Caenorhabditis elegans: one gene and its partners. The protein of the gene in region 2 interacts with the protein of the main gene of each other region in a pairwise test. Each region holds a gene or a part of one and is shown on either strand. Other genes may lie near its edges. The genes, in order: mct-6, txt-1 and ceh-58.

Region 1 (12,078 bases), on a different chromosome or scaffold from region 2:
CAATTCGAAACATTTTTCCATTTGACCAGAAAACCTCCTAAACATCCAAAATTTATGTGAACGTTCGAATATTTATTATTTTTTCTGCGATTTTCAGGCATTTCAAAAATTTATTCAAGCAGATTCCGATTTCCAGAACAAACATCTTGCAGAAATAAGGGCATCTGCACAAGCCTTCTGATTATTTTCGTACTTTTCTGATCGTTTGGCTCCCACTCATTCTATTTTCAACGCTCCTTCGTCTTCGAAGACAAAACATCACAAGTTCTGACTTTCAGTTTTACAAATCTCACTATCAGAATAATACGATTTCATTTTCACATCTCTTTTTCTCTTTCTCTCTTTTTGGTCTAAATCGATAGTCAAGTCTATGAAGAGCATCTAATTTACTTCCCGAGTTGTTTTTGAAAATAGTTAATCTTTGACGTTGTTTCATATACCCTATGGAATCCACCTCTCACTGACAATCGGTGGTGGAGCTGAAGCAAACACGAGTTGCTAAGAGACAATATACGAGTCGCGTAATTGTAACTATAGCGCCATTTTGAGCTGCTCAATATACAACTTGCTAGTCGTTCGAGATGCCATCTGTAATTCAAATGAACTCTGTGAGAGAGTTTGAGGAGAAGGTCGATTCTCTGTCTGCTGGTGATATGTGAGTTTATTTTGACTAAAAATCGATTGATTCTACTTTTTATTGCAGCTACAACTTCAGCAAGCTAGATCTCGATTTAAGCGCACAATTGCAGTATGGAGTAAGATATCTGAAAAGTGAAGGATTGTCCATGTCAATGTGGATCGGATCCAACAAAGCAGACATTGAGATTACGTGTGTCAATCCGAAGAAGAGCTTCTCGTGGAGTTTTGTGAAGCAGAACAATCCGGAGAAAAAGTGGAATCAATATTTTCACATTTCCAAGAAGTCGTTTTTGATTGTGTATGTTTTGTTATGGCATTTTGTAACGTTTTGCCGAGAAACAAGTAACGTTTTTATGGTAGTTGGCTGGGAACACTAAATTTGGCAAGGGATTTTAAATTTCTTCACGTATTCATTTGCGAACTCTTGTGTTCGCTGTAAATGATAAAGCAAGTATAACTGGACCATGTTTACCTAATGGCGAACCACGCGGGAAATACCTCTGGGAATGGTAGGGAAACTCTCTAAAAATAAATAATCCCATTTGAAATATCTAATGACAATGGGTTTGCATGTATCAACTGAAACGCCTGGAATAAAATATAGAAAACTCTTTTTACTCCTTTTCTGTAAAAATCCTGTATAAAATGTAAGTGTAATCAGATGTTCAACACAACACACGCTATTTATAACTTAGTAATCGTGACGGAAAGCTTGAAAAAATGAAACTGCGTGGGATTTCTTAATTGACGGTTGCTCAATAGAAAATAGCTGCTCAAAGCACAAATCACTGATGCTCGTCGGAAAATGAGAGTTGATCGTTTTCTAAATTTCAGCTAGACAATAAAGAATATTTTTATCAGGGGGTCACTATGTATACTAATTCAATTGAACGTTATCTTCTCAGTTGTTTTAGAAAACATATTTTTATTGTATAATGCATAATTCATTAGTTGGCCACATTTGCTTTTCAGTATTGGTTAGGGCTGCTAAAGGGCTGCAAATGACTCAGCCCCAGCCCCGCGCGCATTGAAAAACGCATTACGAAAGGTGGTTGTTTGATAGCCCCCGACACTTTCGGGGTTCCGCCAACCTCGCGCCACTTGTCACCATGACCCTCTGTATAGTGCCGCGCGGAACCCCGAAAGTGTCGGGGGCTGTGCTGAGCCCCACTGTAGGGGCTAGCCCCCTAAGCCGCCCTAGGATTGGTTAGGAAGAACTTGAACTCGTGGTGTATTCCTAGCTACATACCATCACAACGAACCCACCACCAATAATATTTTTTTTTCTAAAATTAATTCGCATTTTCAGAGGCTCAACAGAAAATGGAATCAGTCTTCGGGTCAAAAAAGACGAAGCGTTAAACCCATTCTTTGCATTATTTGATCAGCTTCAGAACCTTTTCAATGTCGGTATCAAAAGCATTGTGGTCGACGAGGACATTTTCGACAGTTCTCAAACAGTGAGATATGTGATTGCAATGCTTTATGACTTTGGCTGTGTTAGTTTGAGAATTCCAGCATTTGCTAAAGAGCCAACTATGTACCAATCGGAGCAAGTCGTACGGCTTTTGAATGGTGTTAAAATTTTCAAAAGCTTGACGGTTAATGTGAATATCAGCCATCGTTCCATGGTATACTTGGAGCGGGTACGTTTTAGCACACTTCAAGACAGCTTGCAAAGATAATGAAAATTAAGGTATGGCAAATCCCTAACGTGATCATGACCAATGCATCCTACCATAACCAACTACCAAATGCGGGCTACGATACAACCTATTATATGGATGAATGCTCTGTAGATGTTATCAACGAAATTGTCAACGCTTTAATGATAACTCACAAGTCAAATTTGATAACTATGACAGTGCATATAAAGAAGCTGGACATTAGACATCTTGAGAACCTGCTGGCAAACTTCAAACACTTTACACGAAACGATCAACAACGAAAGTTCAGGTTTGTCAAAAAAAAACTAAAAAATGTGCAAGTTGCTGCAAAGCACTATTTTGAATACTAATTGTTACAGTTAAATTATCATTATTATAAATTGAATGTAGATCACATTTTATCAAAATCGACTAGCAAGAAACAAAGTCTAAAATAAAATTTGGCGAGTGTGAGTGAGGCACCGTTACTGACATACGCTGCGGCCATAGTGACCAATTTTCCAACAAGTCTAATACTTAGGCGCCAGCTGGCCTAAACTATTTGATTTATCCAAAAAAGTTTCAAGTCAAAATTCATTTGTTACATAAATTCCCACAATTTAAAAAAGTCGATAAGCAGAGAAAAAAGTTGTTAAATTTGATTATTTTGACCGCTAGTTTTTTCGAATTAGTTCACAACAATTTAATTGCAGTTAAAAACGATTATTGACGGAAATAAAAGTACCTCGATATTCATTTTCAGAGAGCTCCGATATCTTGAAAAAATGCACATTCTAACCAATGACGGAGTGCACTTGCGACGTTCGGATGGTGCATTGATGACTATGTATCTCAAAACAAAATCTTTAATCTCACAGGAGCATACTTTCATAATACACGCAGAGTATCCATGGAACTCGCCAATGATAAATCACATTGACAAGACCATAGAGACGTATGCGTCAAAAAAAGAAACCTTGAAGACTCTGAAATCAAATCTAAAAGTAGCAACAAATGAAGAGCAGAAGTGTTTCAAGAAATGGCACAATGAGAAAGATCGTGCTGAACTTCTCAAAGCAAAAAGAGCATTGCATGAGAGCAAGATTGGGAAAGTAAAGATCGCATTTGAGATGAATGATTATCAACATCAAATCAATCACATGGATTTCTTGAAGGAGATGTGTCTGGCCACCCAAGCAAGGAAGGATTTCGGTTTCTTCTCGTATGGCGCTAATCAAAACTGAAATTGAACACGATGACATGTGATTATTTCCCGATATCCACGAAAACATTACTTTCAGATTAATTTCTTCAATTTTTCAGAACGCACATGTATTTTTGTCTAAGCAGAATAATTGTTGCGATGTAGTCAAATAAAATAATCTGAATTGATGATTCTTATCTACGAATCAGCTGAAAATTTCGAGATTCAGCATTTCACACTTTATACATTTTCTTATTTTATGAATCCTTTTGTGTCCTTTTTCCTTGTTCTGATTTTTGTTTCATTTTTTCTGATTGCTTCTACCTCTATCCAGTACTACCTTTATATTGTTTTTAATTATTGTACCATTTCTTTCAGTGAATAAATTGAATAAGACACTCAACTGTAAATTTCATGTAGAATGAAGTCTGGGAAGGTGATCGTGCCGAGACCCATTTTGTTTTGATTCCCGTCGCTGAAAACCAAAATAACACAAAAAAAAACTTTTAAAAAAATTAAATTCATTAAGTTTGAAAAAAAATTAGGTTCATTTTGGCTAATTTTCAATTGTTACTAATCTCTTTAGATTGATTACCCCGTTTTTTATATTGAAAATAATCAGAGAAGGTAACAAAGCAGACACTTTTAGGTAGAATTTAGAAAAAAAGAACTTTTCGTTTTGCTTTTGTGGTACTTCAGTTTTTAAGATCAGTTTGAGGATTAATAGTAAAATTAATCCTCAAACTGAGTTTAAAAAAACTGTTTCGTTTTACTGAATTCCCAATTTCCAGATGAAAAATCATTTCAAGAACTCAACTTCATAGTATCATAATACAGATGTGAAAAGTGCCAGAAAGGCGCAAAACCAGCAATATTATGGAAATGTAGTCTAACGATTTAGACAGTGTGTTGAGGTATATTAAAGATAGGAAAACAAAAACGGAATGTTAAGCCCATCAATTTGGGAGAGATTGCTGGAAGAGCAAAAAAGGCACTAATACACACATAGATAAAACTGGGTGAAACGAGTTTTGAACCAGATTCAAATTATTGAATTACAAATTATTGGTATTTGGGAAAACAGTGAGAGAGAATTAACAACAAACTACAAGGGGAAAACCTAGGTAATGGACAAAGTGAACAAGAAAACCAGATGAGGACAAGTGAAATTGAAGGAAATATGTCTGGAACAAGGAATATGGTCTAAATAACAAGGAGTACCCAGTGCTTTGAAAACACAATTTCGATAAGAAGAGATTGGGTGTATGAAAATGAAAATTAGAAATGATATCGTTAAGAAATGAGAGAAAGCGAAAATCATGGCAGATCATCAGGGACAGGAGCATCTACTTTTTGATAGCCAGGGCCTTGGCCTTGGCTTTTTTCTGGAAGAATGGGATTCCGAAGAGCATGAGCCCAGAGGCCTGAAAAAGAGAAACGTTTTTAAAAGTTCAAGAGCTGTATTTATGCTTTAACTTGTTAGTCAAACCTTGTAGCCTCATTTTAGATGGATACTCAATTTAATTACCGAAAACTTAAATATAATGAAGTATTTTGGTCTTGCTGGCTATTTTCAACTTGTACTCACCAGGAGATTGACTCCGCAGAAGACGAATGAAAGGGTATAGTTGCCGGTCATATCAGCCAAGTATCCCGACACAGGTGGTCCGAACACTGTTCCGACTCCTTGCCAGAGAAGAAGCAGTCCGAAGGCGTTGGTGAGCTTGTCAAGTCCAAGAAGGTCGACGAGGATGACAGACGTGAGGCAGATGTACGAGGCAATAGAGAATCCGAAAAGTGCAGAGTAGGTGGCAAGTGGGATGAATCCGTTGAATTGGTAGCAAAATACAGTGAGAAGTCCGCAGATCTGTAAAACAAAGTTTATTAAATTTCTTGTCGAATGTCTTTGCACTTACGGTCAAAGAAATGTTATACATCCAGAGACGATTACGAGCGGTATCATTTCCGATGCCTCCTGGAAGTGGGAGCTTGTGATCGGCAACAACTCCGAAGATGATACGGCCAACGGTGTTGGAGACTCCAAATGCGGAAAGAACCTTTGATCCTTGGATAGGCTCGAGTCCAATTTTGGTAGCGTGAAGTGGGAGGAAGTACAGTGGGGAGTTGAATCCAACAGATGTGAGAAGGTTTGAAATCGCAAAGAGCAAGAAAGTTGGTTCCAATAGGAGCTCCAAAGAGAGCATGTTGCTGATGGTTTTGAACATGTTCTTTCCCTCGACGTTGTCAGTGTTGTCAGTTCCGTTGGTCTTCTCACTGATATCCATGGCTTTGCTGTCTTCTTCACTTCCCTCACGAACATCATCCAGTCTTCCGGTGGAGTGAGCTGGAATACTTCCGACAGTGGTGTGGCGTCCATGAAGAGAACCGGTCGAGCGATACTTGTCTGGATCCTCACGGAACTCGGCGACATTGGAGATTGATCCGGTGTAGAAGACGTCTTTACGGTTGAGGTATCCACTGTCACGCTCTCCAACTGTTCCGCGACGAGATCTTGGCTGAGACTCAACATCAACAGCTCCCATGGAGCTAGCTGGCCGGATCTTTTCACCAGCTTTTTGAACTCCAGAACTCTGAGACATTGATCTCTCGAGCAAAGATGGCGGACTCAAGAGTGTTGCCTTTTCTCCGTGTTCCTCATTAGCAGCAGTTTTCTTTACATCCTCGTCCAATACCTCATCATTCACTTCTTCTTCCTCGTCTGGCACCAATGCAAACTCCAATGGAGCAAAAGTGGCTCCACACAGAGCACATAGAACCAAAATAAACAAGAATGCCAGGAAAACACTGCGCCATCCGTAGTTGTTGATGAAGAAAGCGTTGATCGGGGCGAAAAGGACAGTTCCAACTCCAGCACCGGCGACTGCAATTCCAGTGGCAAGGGAGCGCTTGCTGAAATTTTAAAATTAACTATTTTAAAAAATTGTTATTCTTTGATTTCCAATGTTTTGGAGGACAAAAACAACTATTGGAAATATGAATCTGAGTGAGGTCTCCCGGTTGATCGCAAATTAGCGTTTGCGATCGTAGTGTCCTAATAATAGTTTTAAAATCAGAAATCAAGATAAAACTACCACCAATATGAAAATCAATTCATGCACTTATTGGCGTCATTTACTCTCAACTCACTTCTCGAAGTACATAGTGACGATCACAATAGCCGGGCAATACATCAATCCAAAGCCGGTACCCATGATGACACCAACGGTGATCACAATGTGCCACATGGCAGTTGCAAAGTACGAAAGGGCGCATCTGAAAAGAAACCAACGTTCCTAGAGGCTTCGGATCATTGCCAATTACCCGACGAACGCAACTCCTGCTCCGGTGATTGTGGTGATACGACATCCATACTTGTTACACACGGCAGAAGCGAGCGGTCCACTTCCGAGGGTGAGTCCGGTGAGCAGTGAGATGATGAGTGCTGCCATTGTGTTGCTTGCGTGAAACTCCTGTGAAAGATTATTTTAGTTTAGTTTTTTAGTACATGATTTTTGGCTACGTGAGATGTTCAACTGGATCAACGATATAACATTACATTTAGTGCCCGCCGGCTTATGGGCCAGTTGATTAGATTCACGTGAAACATTGCACGAATGGCTGATCGAGGGTCCAAAGAGCCAAAGAGCCTACACATGTGACAGCGGTGTTATTGACAATGGGGCAGTGGCTAGGGTCTAGGATATCTGAGAAGAAGCTCACCTCCATAAGAGTTTCGACGAGCACTCCAAACGAGTATACGAATCCATCAGCGAAGACGTGCACAAAGAATGAGCCGAGCACGACGACCCATCCCCATCCACCATCTGGAGGCAATGGCACCAACTTTCCCCCGCCAGACGACACTGGTGCACCTGTCATTTTCTGAAAAATTTTTTTGATTATAGAACATTTTCAAAAAGTATCAAGAAAGTTTCTGAGAAAGTCATATCAAGTTGCACAAGCAAAAAAAAAAAGTTAGTGAGCCTCAAAAGAAAACTCGAATCTAAAAATGTTCAGCAATCCGGGTGAAAAATAAAAAGATGCAAAATAAAGTAATACATCAGAGAGAAACAGAATAAGAGAAAGATCAAAGAAGTAGGACTGCGCGCTCTCATTAATCATGTTCACACATTTCTCGATAGTATCAAATAAATAGTTGCCGGGAGAAAAAGGTCTCGGTATTTTTTTTTAGATAGATACAAATCTCATGCTAGGACTACGCACTTGTATATTTGCCTAACTAACATCTACAGTATCGGCCTATATAAAATCCACAGTTTGGTTAGCTGTGTTGGTTTAGATATAGGCTCGAAATCGCACCGCAATTGATACAATTGATGGATTTGAATAGGTCAAAAAACGCGGGAAACAAGAAGGGCACTCTCAGACGCAGTAAGCTAGGGTGAACGGCAAGAGTGCGCGTAAACACCAGAGTGTGCCAGAGAAAGGACACCCCGTCCGTAGGGTGAAGGGTGACCGGCCGACTGTAAGAAGTGTGTGTTAGGGTCGACAATGAACAAGTGTGGGGAGATGACGAAGAGGGCGGAGCGAGGTGAGATAGAGCGAGACGCGGGTAGTGTGGGGAAAAAAATGGTGATTGTGGGTAGACAATGGCATGTGTACTTCACGAACATCTGTCAGGAACGGATGAAGGACAGGGCTTCCAGAGAGGGTTTGAACACTGAAGCCCTGAAGCCTGAAGTGAAGAAGGTATGGTTGGGTTGATTGAAAGTGCAAAGTGTAAAAGTTCTAATATACCAGAAGTTTAGAAGAGACAGATTTCTCAGTAGTTTATCAAGATCAGTAGATTCTAAAGCTCAAGTATTAATGTGTGTTACAAAAAATTGATACTCTGTGTGTTTTTCTCTACTTGGTCAACTTATTGTAGGTTTTGTTAAGTTTTGACAAAACATAATTTAACTGGTGAAATACGCGCCAGGGTAGGTTAATCGGGAGATTCTAGATCCTAGTTTTGTAATGTAACTCTCGATTCTGCTAGTTGAAATTTTATTAGCAACAAAAAAGCAGTTCGAATTTAGCCTAACATACGGTTATAGTATATGCTTCACCTCATTGCTCAGAAGTCTCTAGACTAGACTGTTTTGACTGATATCTAGACTGTTTTGGATTTTACCAAAACATTTGCAACAGTATGAATAGTTGAACAAATTTTTATAATTCCAAATGCTTTGAAGAAATGAGCTTTCGCAAATCATACCGTTCAAGTTGAGCCCCTTATTATACAGAAATCAAAAGAAAACCATATCTCATTATAGGAAAACTGCCAGCAACGCATTCACTGCAAATGAAGTCAACTTTATAGAAGCCCTTATTTATATCAAACCTTGTGGGCGGAGCTTATCCTCAAGCTTGAAACCTTTGTCAAAATGATGTAACATGATGGCTTTTTTTTTGTGTGAACAATGTTTCCAATTATAAAAATCAATTTTCAAAATGTTGTCTAAAATTTTAAAAGGATGCGCTCAAAACCGCCCACATAGAGAGCACTTTTTGATATTGAAAAAAATTCTTTGCTCGCATTTTAAAAGATTCACAAAACAAGTAAACAAACATTGGAACATTCGAGAATAAAGAAAAAGTTAAAATGTTTCAGAGAAAACCAAGAACTAAAAAACACCCAAACATGGTGTTAGTGGTACTTGAAACCCTGCCCACTCTTATCCTTCTCCAGATTTTTTCCTCTTTTTGGTATGTGTGTGTGTTTTTCTCCAGAATTTTTCGTGTTTGTCACGTAAAAACGCATTACTCGTAAACACACACACACACACACACACACACACACACACATACTTTCTTGAGGAGAAATGGAACATGGATGAGAGGAACAACAGTTTGTTTATAATGTTACACTGGGCAGAGGTCAATCAGAAAAGCAACAAAAAGAAGGCATCAGGCTGCTCATCAACTATTTACGATTATGACTCAAGCTAATGTGCTCTGACCCTTTCGTGTCCAATTACCCGCGGTCATATACTTTTAGGATTCCACAGATCTCTGTTTGTTTAAACTTTTCTCTCATCTAATGAAAACTTGGCTGAAAAGAATATTTAATAAACGAGGTCGCCCCAGAGTTCGAACAAAATTGTCTGGGAAAATGAAACCTTTGAAGTTTGCCGACAATTCTTGGATTTGTGCCAAAGTTCTCACATTTTCCAGCTTTCAAAAATGTTTTTTAAAAAACTGGTAAAAATAAATCGAAATGTGATGTAATGTGACAAATGCACTTTAGCTTTCTACACATAGAATTTCCAGACAGGGTCCCATATGGTGTTGGCTAGACAGTAACAGGTGGCTGTGAGTTGTGAAATAAGAGTAAATTTCTGAAAGATCAAAATAGCAATGGGTGGAGCGAAGAGGCACCTGTTTAAAATTTTACTAATTGGTGTAGATCATGGGTGCAATCAAAAATTACCAGAAATTGGCGACTGAGACTGTGAAAAGTATAGACCCTTTAGGCTTGAAACGGGGATATTTTCCCAAAAAAACGTACAATTTTAAGTTTTTAGAAATCTAACAAACTTTTACTTTTTGCAATTCTCATTTCCGGTTTTCGGCAATTTCCGGCAATAGCCAAATCCGCACTACAACGTAAATTTTGGTCATTTTCTATTTTTCTATTTCTATTTTAAAATTCTAGTATTTTTCGAAAATAAATGTAACAAGCCTTGTAAATAAATAAAGACTATGAAAATTGCAATGTGAGAAAAATGTGTTGTCAATTTATGCAAGCGTATATTTGTCAATTAATTGATATTCTAAAAAAAAAACAATGGAAAAATTCACGAATTTTCTAGCTTTTCTAGCATTCATTCTGAAAATAAACGTAAAATTTGTTTATAAGCGATTCACAATAACACATGACTCTAAAAACACGGTCTTTTTTTTTTGAAAAGTGGTCAATATCATCGCCCAGTTTCACAATTAACAAAAAAAGCTGTAAATCATGATGAATTATCTATCAATTGATTTTTTTTTGATAGACATTGAGAATAGTTTGGAGCAATAAAAAATTATCAGTAGAGTGCTCCGGGTACTTGCTGTCGCCCAAATTTTTAATCTAGGCCGTTAATGTAAAAGGAAATGTGGGAAATTTTGGGGAAATTGGTTTTTTGTTGATATACCTGACAAAAGTAGGTTGTATTAAAAATTTCTACATGAAGAATTTCATTTTAAATTAACTTTTAGACTGAGAATATTTATTTATATTTTTGATGACGATTTTTACTTTTTAGGTTTTAATTTTTTTTGTCATTTTGAACGCTGAAAAACATCATTTGTTTAATGTTTCTACTTGAAAATATTTTCAAACATTATAATCAACACAAGGTCACTGAATATAACAAAATGTGTATAAAGCTCAAAGTAATATTCAAACATCTATCTTTCAGTGTTTTTTGGGTATCTCCAATTTCTGTTATTTGATTCCTTATATGTGAACAAGCGTCACATGCCGTTTTATTCAGAAAAGGAAAAAAAATTGTACCGAAATTACATAAAAATATCTGTTTTTTTTTTCTGTTTGGGTAACGTTACCGAAAAAGGTAACTTTTTACGGCGGCACCTTTAAAGCTTTCTGGCAAATGTGGGAAAATACTACGACTATTTCAGTGTGAAACGTTTGAAAATATTTCGAAAAGAAAATTGATTTCAAAAAGGTGTCAAAATCATTAACTGGCGCGCAAGTAATATGAATTCTGGCTACTGATTGAAACGCAGATTTCGATGATATGAATTAATGTCCTTCAGGGACGGTACACAAAGCGAACCGAGAAAAATGGCAAGAAAAGTGAAGAAAAAAAAGGTGATAATTGTAAATCAACATTCCAATGCGGATCATTTTTGATATCTTTTTGCAGGGTGAGAGACCGTCACAGATAAAAAAGAACAGAGATGATTGGAATGGTTTTTAGATTGCAAGCGGAAATGAGGTGAGGTTTCTGTAGGACCTAAAATTTTTAAGCTCAAATCATGCCTTCTGAAATTTCAAGCTGAAATGTTTCCTAATATTCCAGCAGGAGCGGTAAAATTGTCTTAGAACAGGCATGGTGCGTGATACTAGAAATGCAAGCTTCCAATATTTTACTCCTTTGAGAAAATCCCATAATTTTTTTAAAAAATTGTTCAAACATTTTTTACTTTCGGAAAAATAGCAAACAACTGCGAAAACCACACTTGGGGCAGTTCTGCGAGCCTCAAAATTAATGAAAAAATTCTCAAAAAATTTAAAGAGTTTGTACTGGGCTTCTAAATTGGTCTACTTAGAGTACCAACTTTTTTTTCAATATGCAAAAATATTTATAAATACCAGAATTAATTATTTTTGAATCTACATATTTGAGTTGTTTTCTCCAAACTAATTTTCTAGATTTAATAAAAAGTTTCCAATAATTTTTTAGACCATTTAAAATATAGGTTGTTTGAGTTGACAAATATAATATGACGTCACAAAATATAAATCTCTTGGAGCAGGAACGCACTTTGTAAAGCAGTGAACATGTGACGGGCAAGCGTTCCGTCTGCCTTTATTGCAAATTGATCGGTGTTAACTAACAGCGAAATTTGAACAAT
Region 2 (10,069 bases):
CCAAACCAGATATAAATATTAGTAAGGAAATGTAGAAAATATCCACGAGGTTCCTCCTCATTGTGTGTCCCGGTGAGAATAAAAAATGCCAGTGTCTCCTTCTGATTCGGATTACGTCTTCATCATCAAAAAGGTGGAAACTCGAAAAACGAGATTTCTCGCGTCATCCGCCGCCCAGTCCCTTGCCTCGAGGCTTATCCTTTTGTCTCGTTTTCCATAAAATCGGGCAAAATTGCGAGGCGGCTAGTGATAAGAAAGGGTAATGAATATGTATTTGATAATTGCGTAACTATGGTTGTTTTAGAAAACTGAGATTTTACAAGTTTTTTATTAACAAGGAAACAAAAATACTAAGAAATGAAAGTAACTAAAATACTAGGAAGCACAGACAGGAAATGCGTACAAACGAGAGGAACCAGTGTTCATTTGGAGAGATTTGATATTTAAAGAAAACATAAATTAATATAAAAAGGAGACTGCGGTTTATTTACAGAACTGATGAGTTTAGAAGGTATAATCACGGAGACGTCGTTCCAGCTCCAGCCACTACTCCAGACACCACGGACTCATACGTGGAGCTCTTCGAGAACTTTTCAGCGTCTTGTACTTCTTCTTTACTATGATGAATTCCATATCCAAAATAGATAACAAAACCAATGCTCATCCAAACAACTAACCGGAGCCATGTGATCCAAGCAAGATGAACCATCATCAAAGTGTTGATTAAGAGTGAAAGGGCAGGAATAAGAGGAACGAGAGGTACCTGAAAGGAATATTTACATTATACATAAAAATCTCCTGCGTAAATTATCAATCATACCTTGAAATCCAGTGGAGTATTATTGGGGTAATGAGCGCAGATAAAGAGGAATGAGAGAATTATCAGAGCAATATTGACTAGCAAGAATATTTGGCAGAGAACAGTTCCATATAAATATCCAGAACTGAATCCAAGGCCTGAGAAGAACATTGAAGCAATCATTACGCTCATCCCATAATAAATCGAGTGTCCTGGCTGAAGTTTATCAAGGAAGCCACAGAATGGAATGCTGAATCGAAGTTTTCCTCCATTGTCGAATTGGCCCTCATCAACATTATATGCTGGTTGGTAGCGAAGTACGATTACACAGGCAGAAACAATAGAATACGCAAGAAGAGTTCCAATTGATAAGAATTCAACCTTGAAATATTTTGTTTAAAGTATATTAAAACGTATTTCAGCTTACCAAAGTGGTAATATCGAAAAGCAATGCAATGATTGCAGTGAGGAATCCAAAAATAAGAAGAGCTTGAGTTGGAACTTGAGTTTTTGGGTTTACGGATGCCAAGGAGCTGAACAAAAGTCCATCATCAGCCATTGAGAATACACATCTCGGAAGAGCAAACATTCCTCCAACCAAACTAGTTGTCATTCCAAAAAGAGCACCGACCGAGACCGCATAGCTTGCAAATTCTGCTCCACGCATCGTGAATGCATCAGAAAATGCTGCAGTTGGATGAACCATATTGTATGGAATCATCAATGTCAGGGAAGCTGACATCAGAACATAGGAGAGTGTGACAATTGTCATAGAGGAGAATGTGGCAATTGGAATTGATCTAAAATAAATTACCTAAGATTTCACATACTCAGTTCACATAAATTTTAATCTCACCGTGCAGGATCTTTAGCTTCTTCTCCAGCAGTTGCAAGTCCGTCAAATCCAATGTATGCAAAAAAGCAAGATGCAGCTCCAGCAAACATTCCAGATACTCCATACGGAAAGAATCTCGAATTCCCTTTCTCATCTACTCCACTCCATAGAGAGAAATCAGCAAACGTTATACCATAGAACACGACTATGACAACAATTCCAATATTGAGAATTGTTAGGAAAGAGTTGAAGTTAGTGGACACTTTTGAACCAAGAGCAACAAAAAATGCCACAAGAACGATGAGTAGAAAAGCGAGAAGATCAGGGTAATCGCCGAAAAATGATGAAGCCTGGAATTTCGAATTCAAAATTTTATAAAAACATTTACTGGCTTACTTCATGCAAGTGCCCAGTGCGAGCAATTGTTGAATTTGAAATAACATTTCCCAGTAATGAATCCAAGTATCCAGACCATGATCTAGCGACAGCAGCAGCTCCAAGCATGTGCTCTAGTATAATGTTCCATCCAATAACAAAAGCCCATAGCTCTCCAACTCCAACATAAGTGTATGTGTATGCACTTCCAGCTTTTGGGAACCTAGCTCCAAACTCGGCATAACACAAAGCAGAGAGAAGAGATGCAAAACCTTAAAAAATATTGAAAAATGGAAATAATTTACTGAAGCCGCCGTTTACTTACCTGCTAGCAAAAAAGACAGAATAATTGATGGTCCCGCAGTGTTTCTGACAACCGACCCAGTCAATACATAAATTCCAGCGCCAATCATATGGCCAACTCCAAGAAGAGTAATGTCAAAAGTACTCAGACATCTTCGAAGTGGGGTTGCTATCTCACCAGCCGGCAAGTTTTTCAGACGAAATACACGTTCTCGAAGCGCCGAGAAGCACATTTTTGTTTTTGTTCCTGAACTTTTGGTTTTCTAATTATCTGAAATATCAAAAGTTGCGTTTGAATTGAGGTTGCAAGCGGAGAGTAGGAAACGATCGTAAAAGTTTTGAGTTCAACGCCAAATTTTATGAATTTTATGTAAAAATGGGAATTTTCTGGCAGCTTTTCCTAGAAAAGAAAAATTAAATTAATCGATCAATTATGCAATATTTAGATCAACAAAAAGACAACAAACGCATAGATGGAAAAATAAACGAGAAAAAGAGGAATAGAGCGGGCGCGCGGAACTGGTGGAAGATAAACAAAGACGTTTTTCGGGGGAAAAAATGTATGCTGGACTTCGTGTGTAATGGAATGACAGCACAAATGGTTTGTGGTTGTCAGAAATGCATTGAAGTCTCTGTTGTGATATTTCGTATCAATTTTGACCAGTATTATGAATTCCATAATAAAAGTCAGGCATGTACTTTAAAATTTGATTTTTGGGCTTGGAAATCTATGAACGTAAATGTGCTATATTTGGGTCTGGAAATTTTATTTACTATTGGTATATCAATTCGGAAGTGCATAACGTGATTAGGAGGCGCTATGGAGTATTTTTAGTTACTAATATGGTTGCTAATATAGTTGCATAATTTATAATAATAGCATAACATGCATAATAATATAATATAGTTGCTAATATTCTAATATTCTTTTAAAAGATGGAAGTTGTACTTGGTAAAATTTCAATAACTTTCCCATAAAAGCTCCATCAGTACAGTTACAAGCTCTCTGTTGCCGAACATCTAAAATCTCCTCAGGTTTTTTTATAATTCGTTTTTTTTGCATTGTCAAAAAACTCTTTTTTTTGGAAAATTCAGAATTTAAATTTCAATTGGTAAAATGGTACGCATCACTATGAATGTTCCTACATCTGTTTTGAAAAGTAAGCAAATTCTATGAAAATATCTGAAGAAAACGGGAACAATTTTTTTTAAAGACACAGTTTTACGTGTTTCCGTCTTGTAAAAAATCCCTCTAAAAATTTCCGGCAAATCTGCAAACCGGCAATTTTCCGATTTGCCGAATTTGTCGTCAAAAAAATTTGCCGAACGGCAATTGCCGCGCACCTCTGCATTGAATGCTAACATTCAAAGAGAACGAATAAGGAGAGTAGAAAAAGACGAGCAAAATAAAGAAAAAGAAGATGGTTCAGTTTCCCATCCATCTGCGTCTCTTACGCCCGCTTTAACTTTTTCATCTCTCTATTGCTCTCAGAGCTCCATTAATTGCCGCCTGAGGCTTCAGCCAGGCAAGGCAGAAAAGCCGAGCGCTTTCTCCATATTTAGCTGCATTAATGGATTGGGTGATATTATAAAACACATGAAATTGAAGTGTGTGAAGTTGCTAAAAATATTTTTTTAAAGAATGAGAACTACAAAAATAAGAGCAGAGAAATTTGATTAAATCTCATCAATGCATTTTGTTGTTGGCTGCAGCTTAAGATTTGAATGTTATGGCGCCATTCTTGATTAAATTAAACTAACCACTAAACCAATACACATTTTTTAGGCAACAGAAACAATATGTCGTGGAATTTGGAATTCTAGATGAGAAACGGAAACAGAAAAAGAAAAGCCAGAGAAGTGAAAGTGGGGGGAAGGGGAAAACTTATTTATTTTTGTGACTGGGGATTATTATTTGTTACAAAACATTTATTGCTGGAATGGGGCCAAAGTTCAATTTTAATTCTGTACTTATACTTTTTATTCATTATACAAGTTCAATTGATCTTTGGCTGTGCAGTAGTGCTCGGTTGTTGCGAGAGTTGAATTTCTTGCTGAAAAATAATTTTAAAAAATCAATCATGTTAAATCAGGGGTGGACGGCAAACAATTTTGCCGAAATTGAGATTTTCGGCAAATTGACAAATTGCCAGAATTGAAAATTTCCGGCAAATTTGCCGGAAAAACAGCAATTTTTTTGGAAATTTCAAAATTTCAATTTCAATCGGAATCGGCTACGCTCGGCTACGTTTTACACATCCTAAGAATGTTCCTACATCTATTTTGAAAAGTAAGCAAATTCTATGAGAACATAAAAGAAAAAAGAAAAAAACGTTTCAAAAAGGCACAGTTTTAAGTGTTCCTGCCGAAAATCAGTCAAGTTAAATCAGGGGTGGGCGGCAAACCGGCAAATTGCCGGAATTTAAAATTTCTGGCAAATTGGCAACCGGTCAGTTGCCGGAATTGAAAATTTCAGGCAAATCGGCAATTGTTGCCCACCCCTGTGTTAAATTCACAATCTCACTTCAATCATGGTAACAGCATCTGCAGTCTTTGGGCGCACAATGATAATATCAACTTGTCCTTTATCCTTGAGGCATTGCATCAACCGCTTCTTACAATCAATTTTGTTTAAGACGTTTTTCTTGTTAATCTCGATAATCTGATCTCCGTACTTGAGAACCCCGGCTACTAGAGATTCTGAAATGTCTACCAATTAGAAAAGAGTCTATAAAAGTATTCGCTAACCATTTTCCACTTTGCAGACCAGTATACGTTGATGAACAGATACTATTCCAAGTCCGAACTTCTTGCCCTGAGTCATCATCAGTGTCACCTTGATTCTCTCAAATCGGTGATCCATACTCCCAGAGTTTTGATCGTTTTGATCGTCTTCAGCGAGAGTCTGAAGTAGCCATGTTTATGTGAAGAGCATTAATACTCAGGGGTGCGCGGCAATCGGCAATGTCAAAATGAAAATTTTAATGAAAATTTCGGGCAACTGGCACATTACCGGAAATGGAAATTTCTAGCAGATCGGCAAAAAACCGGCAATGTGCCGACAAAAATTTTGTCGACCGGCAATTGCCACCCACCCCTGTCTACTCACCCTATCATCATCCGTGTCCTCAACTGATTTAAGTTTTGAATTGGGCGGTGCAGATCCTGTAGTGCTCATTTTTTTGAAAATAAGAGAAAGAGTTGAAGGAACCACGTTACTTGTTCTGATTTTTGAAATGATTTTATTGAAAGCTCTTTACGGAAAATGTAGACTTCAGTGACGTGGTGGCGTGATCTATTAAAAAACTGGACGTGGTTTTCTATTTATTTTTTATTAGTTTTTGCTTTTTAAACACTCAAAATTTTGATTTAATTTGTGGAGAACTTTAATAAAGAGTATGTAATTTTATAATGGAGTATGATTGGGTCCGGTAGTAAAATAAAGTTGTCTTTTGAATTAGAAAATTCACCAAACGTGACTGTGTCAAAATTTTTTGATAAAACCAATATTTCTCTAAACCTAGACCCACTGAAACTGATGAAATGACTTTACACATGGAGTACCTGAAACTCAAGTTTGAGATCAAGTACGTGATCATTTTCGTGAATAAATTTTCATTATGATTAAAAAATTGTGATTTATCGAATAAATCTACCGGTTGAACAGAAATAGGGCTATGAAAGACAATACAGTCGGCTTAAAGTTCAGAAAATTAATATCCTGGAGCAGTTCTTGGTGGAGGACAATGATCGCATCCACCACCAGCTCCTGGTTGTCCTGGTGGTCCAGGCTCTCCTGGAGATCCAGGATTTCCTGGAGCTCCATCAATTCCTGGGTCTCCTGGTGGCCCTTGTGGTCCTGGTTGGGAACTTCCTGGAGCTCCTGGCTGTCCTGGTGGGCCGATTGGGCCTGGAGGACCTGGTGGACCAGCTGGCCCTGGAGTACCTGGTACTTCGATAACTTGGCCTGGAACACCTGGAGCCCCGGGGTTACCTGAAACGTTTTTCGTTAGATTTTTTCAAATATGCTAATGTACCTGGTAATCCATCGGCTCCCGGTGGACCTTGAGGTCCAGGGGGACCTGGTGGTCCTGGAAGTGCATTTCCTCCTGGAGTTCCTGGAGCGCCTGGTTCTCCATTTGGTCCTTTAGGTCCTTGCTTTCCAGGTGGTCCCGGTGGTCCTGTTGGGCAGTCGAAACAGAAATCTGCAGCAGTCGGGGATTCGTCTCCTACTGCATCTTGTCCGGGTGTTCCAGGATTTCCTGGAGACCCATCATTTCCAGGATTCCCGTCTGTTCCTGGAGCTCCTGATGGACCAGGTGGGCCAACTCCACAAGAGCAGCATGCTCCTCCACCACCACCACCTCCAACTGGAACTTCTTCATTAAATCCGCCATCGTAGCTAGATGCGCCACGAGCAACTGCCCGACGACGATGAGCAAGACGTCCGGTGACTCCATTTGATTTTTGATATGTCGCGCGTTTGATGCGTCTACGGACGCCCGCAACAGATTCAAACTGAATAAAAGAAAATTCCTTTTGATCCGAAAAAAAACTCTTACTTTATTGTACTCGTCCCACAATCCATTTGTTCTGTGTCGACAGAAATCTACCTTTAAAAAAAAGAAATTATAATAATAACAACACGAATTCAGAATAACAAGTACATACTTCAGATTGCAATGCAGATTGAACGTGTTGCATGTAATTGTAGAGCATGGGGACTGCCATTATTGCAGTTAATGTAGCAACAGTGGATATGGCAATTCCTTAAAAGTTCAGGCATTCATTTTGTTACTATGGAGTAAACTCACCGAAAAACGCCAACTTCCGCATTGCATCAGCTTCCTGTGCTTCATACTTTGGATCATCGTGCGACGATTCAGAAGCCATAGTTCTTCTGGAATCGGGAAAAGTTTCAAGTTTCAAGAGTGGCGAAGAAATTGAGAAATTGACGACGAACAATTCGAAATGAGTGATTTGCGTGCGCGCGCGCGAGAATTCGCTCACTCAAAAGTAACGACTTGAGTTGAGTGACTGGAGTAATAGTCGAGTGAAGCCCGGGAAAGAGTACAAGAGAATGGGGGAATGAGACAAATTATGTGCGAACAGAGAGGCGAATGAGTTAGGCTAGTTTCAAATTTATGACATTAAAGGAAGTATTGAAGTATTGAAGTTCAGATTTTGTTTCAAATACATAGATGCTAGAGTTTTACAGTGAATTCTAAAAATTAATTATAAAAGTTAGAGTAGGTTCAGTGAAGGAATAGTTGAAAACCGCTCATATGCGAATTCACCATGCTGTCAGAGTGTCTTATTTTTCCTTGATCTAGGTCTACAAGAAATGCGGAAGAAGCGGCGCAGAGTTCTCAACTGATTTTGCTTGGTTAAGAACGTTCTGACGTCACATTTTTTTGGGCGAAAAATTCCCGCATTTTTTTTAGATCAAACCGTAATGAGACAGCCTGGAACGACGTGTGAAATATGTAATAGTGTTTCAGTTTGTTGTGAGATTTAACAATTCAACATTACTCTGAATTTTTTGCATAATGTGTTAAAATTTTGTTGAGAAATTCAGAATTAAACAAAGATGTGAGTTAAAAATTTTTCAAAACCTAGACAGTTTTGAAGTAAAAGCTATTTGTTCCTACTGGACTACTATAATTCCTCACTAGCGCTACTCCAAAAACAGTATCACGTGAATACACGAGCAATTAATGATAAATAAACAGATCAGAAAATCAGAAACGTACAATTAAATACAAAATGATTTGAAATATATGTGAAGTGTGTAAAAAAGATTGAATAGTCATCTACAATGGCACACACTTCACGTTTATATAAAGATTCCCATATGGCAAACCGAAAGGGAGGCTAGTGTTCCGCCCACTTTGATAGGCAAACCGTTATTGGGAGGAGGGGGAGGACTAGAATTAGAATATAATGTATAAAGAGAGAGAGAGAGAACATGGTGAAGAAGCAAATTGAGGTGACCATTAAGGAAAGTAGTAATGACTGTGTGTCCCTCCTTCACTCACTGTTCATATGGGAAAATGAGTAGGTGGATGTGAGGAGAGTAGAAGCTAAGAGGGATTTGGTGGATGAGGTGTGACTGACTAGGAGTTTTTGGTTTTTATTAGTTTTAAACTATTTCATGAACTTAACTTAACTAGGATGTAGTTAGTTGTAGTCTGTGTTTTGAAATACATTCGAGTACTATAGTATTATACTCCGCCACTTGTCGTGGTTGATATATTTTAATGTGTCAGTAATAATGCTTCAAAAAGGTATTGAGTTCTCACTGGAACACATGTTTCCAGAAAAATTGATTCTTGCGATATTTGGCACGAATATTCAATACACCGTATTTTTCTTATTAATCTTCGTTTTTCAGTCCTATTAATTTTGTACTCAAAAAGATAAATTGGAGAAATAAAGTTTTCAAGTAATGCAAGAGACATATGGTTTTCAAAATTTCATAAAATAAAAATTGCTCGAAAACTGGGTTCATAGAATTGTAGAAAACATTCTTGAGCTCTCATGAGATTACTTTTGGGTCAGCTTAACATTTGCTACAAAAATATTCCAAACTATTTTGTCAATTTTTTTCTTATTCGAAGTGGATCTAGATTGATAATAACCAACTGTCCTATAACAACTCAAAGATCGCGTTTTGAAAAAGCTGGCATTGAGACGCAAATTCATTTCTCAAGTGTTCGAATTTATTACACAACACAATTTCTAACGATGATTGTGACCGCGTCATCAGACAGACTTTCCGATTGCACTTGACAAAAAAAGAATAAAATATTCTTCCGATGGCGCAACAATACAAATCAATCAATCTTTTATTTTTCAGAAAAAAAGAATGGATGTTGTCTCTCGAACAGCAGAAAACAGACAGAGATGAATGGCTAATTGTTCCAAAAAGGTTTCGGTTCGAAAGTGGATGAAAAGAGACAGAAAGAATGAGGTAAACGACAGTTTTTGTTTTGTGAATAGGTAGGTTAAAAGACTAGTTTTGATATACGAGTGTACTTCCGTAAAATTGGGATCTAAAAATCTGAATTGTTATCATTTATGTTTCGTATGGTTTTCTATATAAATTAACTGATAGTAAGACAATGACTCAAAAAGGGTTTATTGACTGTAACAACTAGTAACAAGGTTTGTGTACAAAAAGAGTCCAACTCTTTTTCCTTTCTCCAAATCACTCTTTTCAAGGCGAGCCTGGGGCGCAATAGTGGCAAGAGCCCGAATTAACGGGACCACCAGTTGCTGGGGAGTTTATAGAAAGGAGAGGCCACTATGAATGTGTTGTAAAGCCAGCAGCAAGCTTTTTTTTCCGATTGTTCCACGGGTCAAACAAAGAATAATGTTACAAGTAATTGCTTTTTGGTATCATTAAAGTTACCGCCACTCAAAGTTTAAAAAATAATTTTTGCAAGCATTTTTAACAACTTAAACGAATATGGCGAGACCAAAAAGCCATGCCTGGCCAGGAGCTGTTAATGCAAATCCAGCTGGAGCTGTTAATGCAAATTTTTATTCAACTATCTGTCTAATATATCAGGGCATATAAACTTTTTAATTTCGCCAAAAAATAAAAAAAATCGAAATACATTTTTAGTGGGATCTAGTTTGTCCGATTTCTTAATTTTTTTTCTCTCAACAATTTCACGTTTCAGTGCAAACGTAATAAATTATTATTATTATTATTATTATAACTGATATCACCAGATGTGAGAGGTTTTCAA
Region 3 (10,753 bases), about 10 Mb from region 2:
GACAAGTTTGTTCGCTTGAATACTATTCTTTAAATACTATGAATAAATACTTGAATTGCTCTTGTTGTGGTTTAAAATTTTGATTTTGGTTAAGAGAAGGCGTAAAATCACATACAATATTGTAATATGTGGAAATATATTTATCGACTGCAAGTGGTGGGAGATGTGAATTTGTTAAAATCCGATGACTATTGCAGGTATTTAGGACTCAAGATATATAACGGCCATTAAATGAGGCTGGGAATATGAATTTTTCGGTACTTATGGGTTTCGCGTAACCCCCGGGGGGACATTTTGGCCGAAATTTTGTAGTTTTCTAAATTCCAAGTATTTAGCAACATTGTTGGTACGTCTACAATTTTGCTATCATCTCCATTCTTTATGACGTTTTCGTCGGACGGCACTTCGATGTGAACTAAAGTAGCGGTATTTGAGAACATTTTGAAATTTTGAATAAATTTTGTAGGTTTTAGAATTTTTTTTTGAAAGTGTGATAATGTGTTCTGAACTGTGCTATAGCTACAATTTCTTGATAAGAATTTAATTTGAAAGGTGAAAAATGAAATTTTAGAAAATTAAAACATTTTGGGGACGAAACCCATAAGTACCGAATTTTTTATAAAATTTTTAAATTTTGAGATAGTTATCTTTTTTGGCTATTAAATTGAGGTATGTATTTAATATATGTAAATAAATCGAGGTGAGCACATATATAAGAAATGAACACCAGTCGTCGAAATAATCAATTGTAGATCTTCTACTTCGGCTCTTCAGTGCAGTTGTAAGCGTTTCTGGAAAAAAGATAATAAAATTCTTTGCTCTTAACCAAGTTTTATATTCCGAAAAACTCCAAACTCACATTTTTGTCTCGGATGTACTTCTTCCGATTATTTTTGAACCAGTTGTTCACCTGAAAAATTAGATTATTATATCTGTAATGCTAAAAATTTGTTTTTTTTTAATCTTACAGTCATCTCAAACAAAAATAACTTACCCTTGTCTTGTCGAGATTCATTGATTCAGCAACCTCCTCAGCGTCTTTTTTCGGAACACTCCCGTGGAATCGCTCTTGTACAATCCTCAGCTCGTTCTTAAATTATTCATTAAAACTGAGGACCACCGATTCAAAATCTTGTTTTTTTTTCTAAAATTTTAACGCTGTTTCGCAAAGGAAAAATTACACTCCAATCTAAAAAAAAACACCACTTTTTTAAGAACTGATTTAAAAAAAAAAAACATGTAAATTGACTTTTTTTTCTGAATCTACGATAAAGAAATCATAATACGACAATTCACCTAATATATTTTAAAGCTTTTACCTAACTTTTTACGTTTATATTTTAATAATCCCTACCGAGATTGTATTGGAAAAATTCTGCCGGGGTCGTCGTTTTTGTTGCTGAACTGGAACCACTTCTGGAGAATCTTCAGAATCGGCCCTGTAAAAGAAAAGTGAGGGTTTTGGAACTGAATTTTTAAGGAAAACGAGGCAGCTTTGGTTTTGGAAGTTGATTTCGTTTTATGATATTTATGTAGTTTAAAAATAAATAAAATAGAGGGGCCGAATTTGAATTACCGCATTAATGGATGTCCGCGGGAACTCAAATTTGTTTACTGTCGAAAAAAGTTTTAAACAAAATTTTTAACTGAATAATAATTGCTTCTAATACTTTGATAAACCACCGAAATCAAAACATACTCTGAAGAATAATTATTTTCGGCTTCTTTACTCTTAACGTTTTTCTCATGAGGATACATTCTTTGACGATTGAAGTATTCTAAAAAATATATGTACATTAAAATTATTTAAAACTCCCACAATATATTTCCTCAAACCTTCTCTAACTTGATCATCTGTCAATCGAATGTTTTTTCGATGAATAATTGGGAATGGTTCCAACGGATCATTGAAATTTCTTGTATGCTCAGCCTCTGCAATTTCATCGGAATTTCTTTTCATATTCCGAGTTGTGAGTTCTTTTTGTGCAGATGGCAAGGCTGCTATCCTCGAAATTTGCACCACATCGTCTCTGTGATCAGAAGAACGAGGAAGGTGTTGAAGTTTGTGATTCGATTTCAACGTGTTTCTCGAATTTTCGAGTACACTAGCAAATGAGGACTTTTTGCTATTTGTGGCTCTTTGAGCACCCAATGGGTTTATACCGGGATGTTTCACACCTAAAAATTGGGCCTGTCCAGGAGACACCTGATTCCTTATGTCATCCAAAGTCATGCAAGGTATCGATTTGGCATCTGGTGGTAATGAAGATGAAACAGAAATTGAAACTACTTTTCCCGAATCACCAAAATGAAAACTTATAGCGTCTCCTTTACATGGGACCATTTTTCCTGTTGCTTGTCCGTAATTGGAGACACTCAATGACTCCCCGATTGAGAAAATCTGATATTAATTTTGTGTATTATATTTAATGAGTAAAACTAAATACCTCCTCTGGTAATTCTTCACCCATCTGAAGTCTCGATATGGCTTGTTGGATCAAACTTCCTGAAATAAATATTTTAGATCATTGATTAATATTCAAAACCATTTTTTAAGTTACCAGGATACTCTTCAGATTGTAGCTGGATTCTGTGCAGCCTGAAATTTAGACAAATGATATATATATATATATATTGAAATATTTCAGACCCACCTCTCTTGTCTAAGCGCATACTCTTCAAGTGTATCCATTTTTTTCTGGTTAAGCGTGTTCGAGTATTTTTCTTGGATATATTCAATCAAAAGTTGTAGTGCGTTTGCCTTGACGTTGTCACTGAATTGTAAAAAATGGATTACGACATCTTATCGTTTAGTTTTAGTTTGTAGTTTTCAGTTCTAAATGTGTTCGAAGAAACTTTTTAAAAAATGCTTTCAGCCAGATTAATAGATTTGTCGATATTTCTGATTAGAGACTTTAAAGAATATGAATGAATTTCGGAATCCTCTCGGATTCATGATACTCTGAAAAATCATATTTATTGGGTAACGAGAGAAATCATTATCAAAGATCATATATATACTTGATGGTCAGTTTTTTTGATTGAACTGGAAGCTTCTGACACCTAGAAAAATTTTGTAATTAAATTCTCAAAGCGCTTAAAATTTGAAACAAACCCTCGAAGAAACTTTTTCAAAAAACTTCATTTTAATTCAGATATTAATTTTTAAAATTATGAAAACTAAAAAAAATCTTCCAATAAAAAAAGATCATATATATGCTTGATGGTCAGTTTTTTCGATTGAACTGGAAGCTTCTGACACCTAGAAAAATTTTGTAATTAAATTCTGAGAGCGCTTAAAATTTGAAACAAATCCCCGAGAAAACTTTTTCAAAAAACTTCATTTTAATTCAGATATTAATTTTTAAAATATGAAAACTAAAAAAATCTTCCAATAAAAAAACGTTATATATGCGTTATGGTCAGTTTTTTCGATTGAACTGGAAGCTTCTGGCACCTAGAAAAATGTTGTAATTAAATTCTGAAAGCGCTTAAAATTTGAAACAAGTCCCCAAAGTCAAAATGTTGGAAAAAAACTAATTTCAAGAGTAATTAGTCAAAGTTTGACAGGAAGGGTTTTTTTAATCTCGAGTAGGTGATAAAGGATTGGCAATGTTTTGCAGGAAATTGGCCATGTACTGCAGAAAGTTAAGAATGTTCAGCAAAAAATTTGCAAGTTCTCAATGTGCAAACAATTATAACCGGATGCATTCTTCTGTATGGTATTATCCCACACATGACATGACCGCAACGCATGAAATCAGGAGAACTGGCAGAACTTTATTTTTCCAAATATTCCCATGTTTCTTGTGGTCATGAGAAGAAAATTGTATGTGCGGGGATCTACTCGTGATCGCAAGCAGAAGTTTGTTGAAGGAAAATGTTGTAGCCACAAGGATATGACGTTTGTAGAATAGAGAATATTAAAAGAGAGAGAGAGAGAGAGCTGCAAATTTAGTATTCTCAAAAATTAAGAACAAAACACCTAAAAATTGGTCAACCAACTGAAGCTAAAAAATTTTCTGAAATTTTTTATAAAAATCTTTTTTTTTAGACAAGGACGATTGTGTAATCCTTCTGTTGACAGATGAACTAAAGAGACTGAAATAACATTGTTCGAAAAACTGGCAAATAAGAATAATCAGAAAATTGTGAATTAAATTTGTTCAATTAAAAGTGAATTAGTTATCGAAATCAATGCGTCATTATTGGAAAATGCCAGTTTATAGTTCTAATTACGTCACATCTCACTTATTTCAAATACAATCAATGCAAAACACTCACCGTTTCCAATAATTTAGTCACTGATCCTTCAATCCCAGTCCGACAAAACCACGGATAACAATAGTTTCAAAATGAAAACGCACAAAAACTGGCCTAAAATTTTGCGAGTAATCTCACCCATCTGCTTTCGTTGCCATGGAAGCATCAACGCAAGTATGATGCGTTGCTCTAATTGTTAGATACACGGTGAAATGAAAATAACAAACCTGAGATTCCCATGATTTGATGAAATGTGATCTTATAAGTAAGATTCATTAGTGGTTATGAAAAAGCGCGAGAAAGCTTAATTAATAAAAACATATATTGATATGTTGTCATAATCAAAAAAGCTTAACAATAGGAGATCTTTTCAAAAAACTATTTCAGGCGGTCGCAAAATTCAATGGTCGCAATTTTTGAAATAATGTTTGATAGTTTTGCAATAAGTTCCTTCAGAACGATTTGGAACCCAAAAATTCATTACTTCTGGAATTATCATGAATATGCACAGCTTAAAACAGCTTGTAAATTTTTTCCCTAACTTTATGTTGAAACATATTTTATTAAAACGATAAACTTGGGAACATGAGCAAGAATGAACAATTTGTGGGGGGAGAGTTGAGATGGGATGAGAATCTTGAAATTAAAGAGAGGGTTTGTGAATAATAATATTAATGCTTACATTCATAAAAACACACAAAATAAATCACATTTTAAGAATCTTCGGAATAATCTAATCCATTAAAGGTTGTGGCAGCTTCTTCTTGCGATCGAACCTTGTCCTTTCGTCGTCGATTTTGGAACCATACTTTAAGCTGGAAAGCAGAACATTTTAGAAGTTTGACTAGAAATAATTTTTTTGGGACGTACTCTATGATAATCAATCGATAAAGTCTTGCACATTGTCTCACGTTTCCTAGGATCCGCACACGCATTCGGGTCCTCCTCATAATATTTTTCGAGTATATTCAACTCCTGCGTCGAGTACACAATTCGTCCACGCCTCGTTTTTCCGTTTACGGTTACTGAAGTTATAGATTTTTAAATGAAAGCCTATTAAATTTACGAAGACTTACACATTGGCGGAACTTGGCGCTTGCCATTCGGCGTTTGGCCTGCGTTTTTTGAAGGGGAGGATTTCTGAAATTTTAAGAACAATTAGAAATGTTCTATTTTTTAAATAGTTATCTATCGAACAATAACTCACTATATTCTGACCAGTTACGCTGAAAATATTCGGTTGAGAAGTGATGAAGTTGGTTAAAAAATCTGGATTCCATTGAGAAGTTCCCTGGAAAATAATTACAATTTTTTAAAAAATTACACGAGGTCTAGGTTAAACCCAAAATATATAAGATTTCAGTAATTAATATACGATAAAACGTACATAATCCTCATCATCGACATCATAAATATTGCTAGAATTGGATGCTCCATCATCACTACTTCCTCCTGATCCAGTAAACTGCATTTCATGGTTTCTGAAAAAGAAACATTAGTTTTTGTATCCATATTTTCCAGCGGACGTCCAAAACGCTTGGTTTCGAAATTGCATTCAACATTTTTTAAAGTAGTCTTTCATGTCTACTACTAGGAAAAATACTGTATTTTGATAACATTTTGCAAATTTTTACCATGAAAGCTTCATGATTTTTTCACTGAACAATATCCAAAAAACGAACCCATTTTGTAATGCAGCTAGAACCGTGTCCAACACATTCCCATCGTCATCATCAAGTATAATCGTTTCAGTTTTCACTTTCACTGGCTCCACAACTCGGCTCTTTTTGATCTCCGGCGTGTCAATTTCTTCTGCGATCGATTGTTTTCGTTTCACAACCACCGGATGAATTCCATTTGAGACAATAGACTCTCGTTGTGGAAGAAGTGGCTTTAGAACTGGAGTCGCAATTGGAGCAGGTGCTATCGTTTTTGGAGTCGGGGGTTCTTCTTGATGCTCATCGGAACTTGTTGTAGTTGGAACTGATGAGCTGTCCGGATTGGCATGTGGGGTACACGAGCATTTCGGACAGATTTTTTGAATATTATCCACAATTGAGACGGGAGTCCCGTAGTCGGCTACCTGAAGGTAATTATTACATCAAAATGTATTGGGTTTATAACTTCAAACATTAAAAAAATTGCTTCTAAAATTACACTTTTTAAAATATTTACTCTCTGGGTTCAATAATAAATTTACCCGTTTTTCAGCTAATTTTTTAATTTATAATAGATTTTAAGTTTAGTTTCAATATTTTGTTCCAAATTGGAAATTTTTATAGGCTGATTAAAAAGCTCACCAATTGATTAATTATTGGCCCGATCAGGTCTCGATGTTGGTCAACGTTTACCAAGACAAACATGTTGCCTTGAAAGGCGGACATTTTTGAGGTAGTATCCTGAAAAAATTAATTAAAATATGTTTTTAAAAACAATACAAAATCAATTTAAAAATTAGAACGTTTCGAAATTACAGAAGAGGACGTTTCAATCAAATAAGAAAAATTAGGCTGAAAGAAAGAAAAGCTAAGAAATTTCTGTTCAACCAATCAATACGTGGATGGAAGGACATGGGGAGAGACCGAGGCACTTAATTAGTTGGAATAATTGATTTAATTATCTCATCTCTTGCCTCTCCGTAGAATTATAAAAGAGACGGAGAGTAGAAGTGCCAACAATTGGAGAACATTTTAATCTCAAATCACAAAGAATGCTCTCTGGCATACACCAAAAGGTCCAATAAAACCAAACGCCTCACTCTCACCAATTTGCCCGCTTGGAGAAGGTTCGTTCTTTTCAATTGAACATTTTGGAGTCATAGACAGTGAGAGGAAGAGGCAAGAAAGAGGAAAGAAAAACGGAAGAAAAAGTGGAAGACTGTGGAGAAGATTATGAGGAGGATAATTGAAATGGGGGAGAAGGTGGAGAAAAGTATATGTGATTTGGAGTGAAAAGTCTCTTGATTTCGTGAAAAATCAAAAAAGGAAAGTTTATAATTGGAGAGCTATTTTCTAAAGAAAAAGGAGATCAAGTTCAGTTTACCGGGTAGATCAAAAATGAATTTCTAGAAAATGTTGCTATAGATTTTTTCTAGCACTGAAACCTTTATTTGATTTCCATGATAAGTATACTAAGTTAAGGGTGGAATATCGTCTAAATACCAAATTTTCCAAAAAATGTGAACCCCTTGAATTTTTGAATACAAACAGTTGAAATGCAATTACAATAAAATTAATGTTGGAAAATAATTATGACCAACTTCCAAAATTAATTTTAGAAGTTGACCGACTTCCAAAATTAATTTTAGAAGTTGGCCGACTTCCAAAATTAATTTTGGAGTTTTGAAAAGGTTTTACTACGATATTTAGACATTTTAGCACTTTAAGTGTTCAATGAATGGTATTTTTTAATGAAAATGCATAACTCGATAGGTAATCACAGGCCTAGAATAACTTGCGGCACGATCACTACAAAAGATTCAAACTTAGGTTTTACCAGGATAATAATAGATGATACGGCAAAAATGGATAACTTGTAGAACTTGTCTTCTTGAACAATTAGCTAGACATTGATTAGACTATAGTCTTGCAGTAATTTATTTTTAAAAAAATCTGAAATTTGGGCAAAAAAAAATCAAATATCACTAAAGTTTTTCCAAAAAAAAGTGCCTTCACAGTTTCTCTACAACATACTACGAAACCCTACCAAAAGTTCTCAGCGATTAGTTAATTGCCGCTGTGTGTTTAGAAAGATGTGGTTGGTTGGTGGTTAAGTGGTGGTAGACGAGAGATACGAGAGGATCAGACGACGAGAGAAAGGAGAAAAGGGTCCTTTAGTCGTCGTTCACTCTCTATGTTTATTTGAAGAAAATCGGAGGATTTCTCGTCTCTCTCGCACATCTATCCTACTGCTTTTGAATGTGAATGAATTTAGATGGAATGCCTGAAGACATTGATGGACGCTTTCGGATGGATGCTGATGAAGGAGCAGCTTTGAATGGGGTGGTGCTGGTCGTGCTTGTGGGAAAGTTTTAGAAGATTCAATGTGAATAATAACGGGCATTGAATGGTCCATAAGGATTTGGAATTTGATTTAGAGGGTTTTGGAGGAGTGAGTTGCAACATTCAAATATGATAGCTAACATAGCAAAAACTGGTAAAAATTGCTATACTTTCAATTTAATACACCAGAATAATTTAGAATCTAGATTTTACATGAATTTTTGTTCAGCTTCTGATATTCTCACACACTTTGCAAATATAGAAACATTCGTGGAATACAGATTCCAAGTTTTGGATTTAAAAAATTGCAAAAAATGTTGTTTTGCTCGGCTCCCATAATTAATTATAAATGTAAATGGTTTCTTTTGCAAAGAATTTTTTAATGTTTTGCAAACCTCTTTGATAAGTTTCTAATGGAAAAATCACTGCGAGAACTGTTTTAAAACTCTCTGAAATTGCTCATTTGGCATGAGTTTTCAAGAAATCATATGATTAGCTCATAACGAAAGGTTGCTTCACTGAGCAATTATCAACAGCATTCTGTTTTCCAGTTGTGCATCTGAGCAAACAAGCTGAAAAAATTATAGAACTAATCATCAAATCTAGATGTGATTATCAGGATTCTGATAAGACTACAAATAAAGTTTATTCATGGTAACAAAAATTAGCCAATGCAATTATAGTATTAGGAAATAAAAAAAATTGCTTTGAGACGGCCGAGGCATTGCTCACTGTCAAAGTACAGCTCAAGATTTTTTGCTGAACTTTCAAAAAAATTAATTAAAATGTGAACATGAAAAGTGCATAAATCTATACTATCAATCATGTGAATTCAAGAAAAAATTCAGGCAGGAAAGAGGTATGCCTGAAGAAATGCCTGATATAATTTGAATAGCGCATTCTGATAGAAAAGATTAACTAGATAAATAGAACAAGTTTAAAAAAACGGGTTTAATTGGGGAAAAATCATTAAAAAATATACCGAATTTTTTTCTATAAGGTTTACGACCCCTATTGCCTTAATTTCACGGTCATTTGGTTTTATCAAAAAAAAATTTGCAGAAACAAAATACGTGCCAAAAATTTTCCTATATCAATAGTTGAACATACTTTTGTAAAATCGAAGTTAACTTAGATATGAGCTGTCAAAATAGAGCATAGAGTAAGACTAATTGAAAAAAAACACTATTTTTAATGCTTTTCAATGTTGCTAATTAGTATCTTTAGAATATAGAAAAGTGGTAATTTCTTTCGAAACCCTAAATGTAATATCGTATCTTCCTAGAATATATGTGTGCTAACTAAAAAATCGATGTCCTTTATGCTAAATTGTGTGACCGAAATTGGCAGAAACGCGCTCCATTCCCCTTCCCCTCCAAATTGGTCGATAATTATGTCTTTTGAAAAGACGAAAACCCCGGTGTGAGAGAGTTAACAGACGTAGACAAGAATATTGTATAAATACATATTTTGTTTTGGAAACAAACGAACGAATAAGACAGAGAAGGAGGGAAAGAACAAAATAATAGAATTTCGAGAAATGCTTCCCCGGTGTCTGCCCGTTTCTATTGAAATTTGAGACGTTTTTTGGTGGTTTGACTGCTTTTGTTGGAAACTGGAAAAATGTTTTTTAGAGGAATAATGGATCATTTTTAGAGACTAAATATTAAAAAGTTGTTTGCTAAAATTAATTATGTACATTAGAATTTGGTAGATCTATGCCGCCATGAAAAACTAGTCTGTGCAGAGAACATTGGCTCCGCAAAACCTTCTCAGACAATTACATATAAGGAATTTTCAGAGATTCTCCACTTTTATTGCAGCTATATTTTTAGACTTTATTTAAAAGTTTAAATACTGTTTTTTTTCTTAAAAAATATTTGAACTTTGTAATTATTACCAAAAAGTGTGAAAAAATATAATTTATAATTAGTTTCGCAATAATCAAAGTATGTTTAATTACCAACGCACGCCCAGACAAAATTGTGTGTGTTTACAGGTGATAATCAAAACTTGCTGATATATTTATTCAACGCTCAATTATCATTCATTATCAGTGATTGTCATTTTCCTCAAATTTATTTTTGATGAAATTTAATATTTACCAAAATATTATACTGGTACAGGATAGCACTAGTGGTCAACAATCTTTTGGCGGCGTCTATTTTTGAGTTTTTATAGCGATTTTTATAAGTAATTAAGATATAAAAATATTTTTATTGGTGTTTAGTGTTCAAGGTATTCAAACATTTTGTTGAATTAAATTTTTAAGTAAAACAATAAATTTCAAAAAAATGTTGTAATTTTCCCTTATAAAACTAATTTTTCGAATTAATTAGAGTCCACACTGTAACAAAGCAATAGAATACTTTAAAACAGTCAAAATACACGGAACTACGTAAAAAGAAAGAATGAGAAAAGCGAGGCGACGAGGCCATCTGCCCGATAATTGGGTGCGGTTTAGCACGAAGAGAAGGGTGGCAATTTAT

The links.
Region 1: the proteins of txt-1 (region 2) and mct-6 interact in a two-hybrid assay, tested with the Caenorhabditis elegans proteins (one large-scale study listed by BioGRID).
Region 3: the proteins of txt-1 (region 2) and ceh-58 interact in a two-hybrid assay, tested with the Caenorhabditis elegans proteins (one large-scale study listed by BioGRID).

The regions. Positions count from the first base shown.
Region 1 is NC_003284.9:16,763,128-16,775,205, forward strand, and holds mct-6 (Major facilitator superfamily (MFS) profile domain-containing protein), read right to left. Parts: upstream 7,372-12,078; 5' UTR 7,369-7,371; coding exon 7,210-7,368; intron 7,176-7,209; exon of another isoform or gene 7,031-7,175; intron 6,960-7,030; coding exon 6,811-6,959; intron 6,763-6,810; coding exon 6,637-6,762; intron 6,400-6,636; coding exon 5,406-6,399; intron 5,357-5,405; coding exon 5,078-5,356; intron 4,914-5,077; coding exon 4,836-4,913; 3' UTR 4,289-4,835; downstream 1-4,288. Other genes in the region: C10E2.1 (FBA_2 domain-containing protein), read left to right, coding at 582-655, 704-937, 1,949-2,285, 2,336-2,595, 3,049-3,529.
Region 2 is NC_003280.10:101,679-111,747, reverse strand, and holds txt-1 (PDZ domain-containing protein), read right to left. Parts: upstream 5,560-10,069; 5' UTR 5,491-5,559; coding exon 5,422-5,490; intron 5,218-5,421; coding exon 5,061-5,217; intron 5,013-5,060; coding exon 4,837-5,012; intron 4,367-4,836; coding exon 4,310-4,366; 3' UTR 4,263-4,309; downstream 1-4,262. Other genes in the region: C50D2.1 (Peptidase S1 domain-containing protein), read right to left, coding at 1-61; C50D2.2 (Cationic amino acid transporter C-terminal domain-containing protein), read right to left, coding at 518-763, 821-1,180, 1,227-1,599, 1,656-1,984, 2,031-2,281, 2,335-2,545; col-68 (Nematode cuticle collagen N-terminal domain-containing protein), read right to left, coding at 6,026-6,306, 6,350-6,830, 6,875-6,925, 6,984-7,081, 7,127-7,205.
Region 3 is NC_003280.10:10,362,936-10,373,688, forward strand, and holds ceh-58 (Homeobox domain-containing protein), read right to left. Parts: upstream 6,663-10,753; 5' UTR 6,648-6,662; coding exon 6,564-6,647; intron 6,347-6,563; coding exon 5,946-6,346; intron 5,745-5,945; coding exon 5,651-5,744; intron 5,555-5,650; coding exon 5,471-5,554; intron 5,404-5,470; coding exon 5,340-5,403; intron 5,289-5,339; coding exon 5,134-5,288; intron 5,079-5,133; coding exon 4,977-5,078; 3' UTR 4,813-4,976; downstream 1-4,812. Other genes in the region: ceh-57 (Homeobox domain-containing protein), read right to left, coding at 771-791, 860-910, 995-1,090, 1,355-1,439, 1,700-1,778, 1,837-2,401, 2,448-2,506, 2,562-2,599 and 1 more.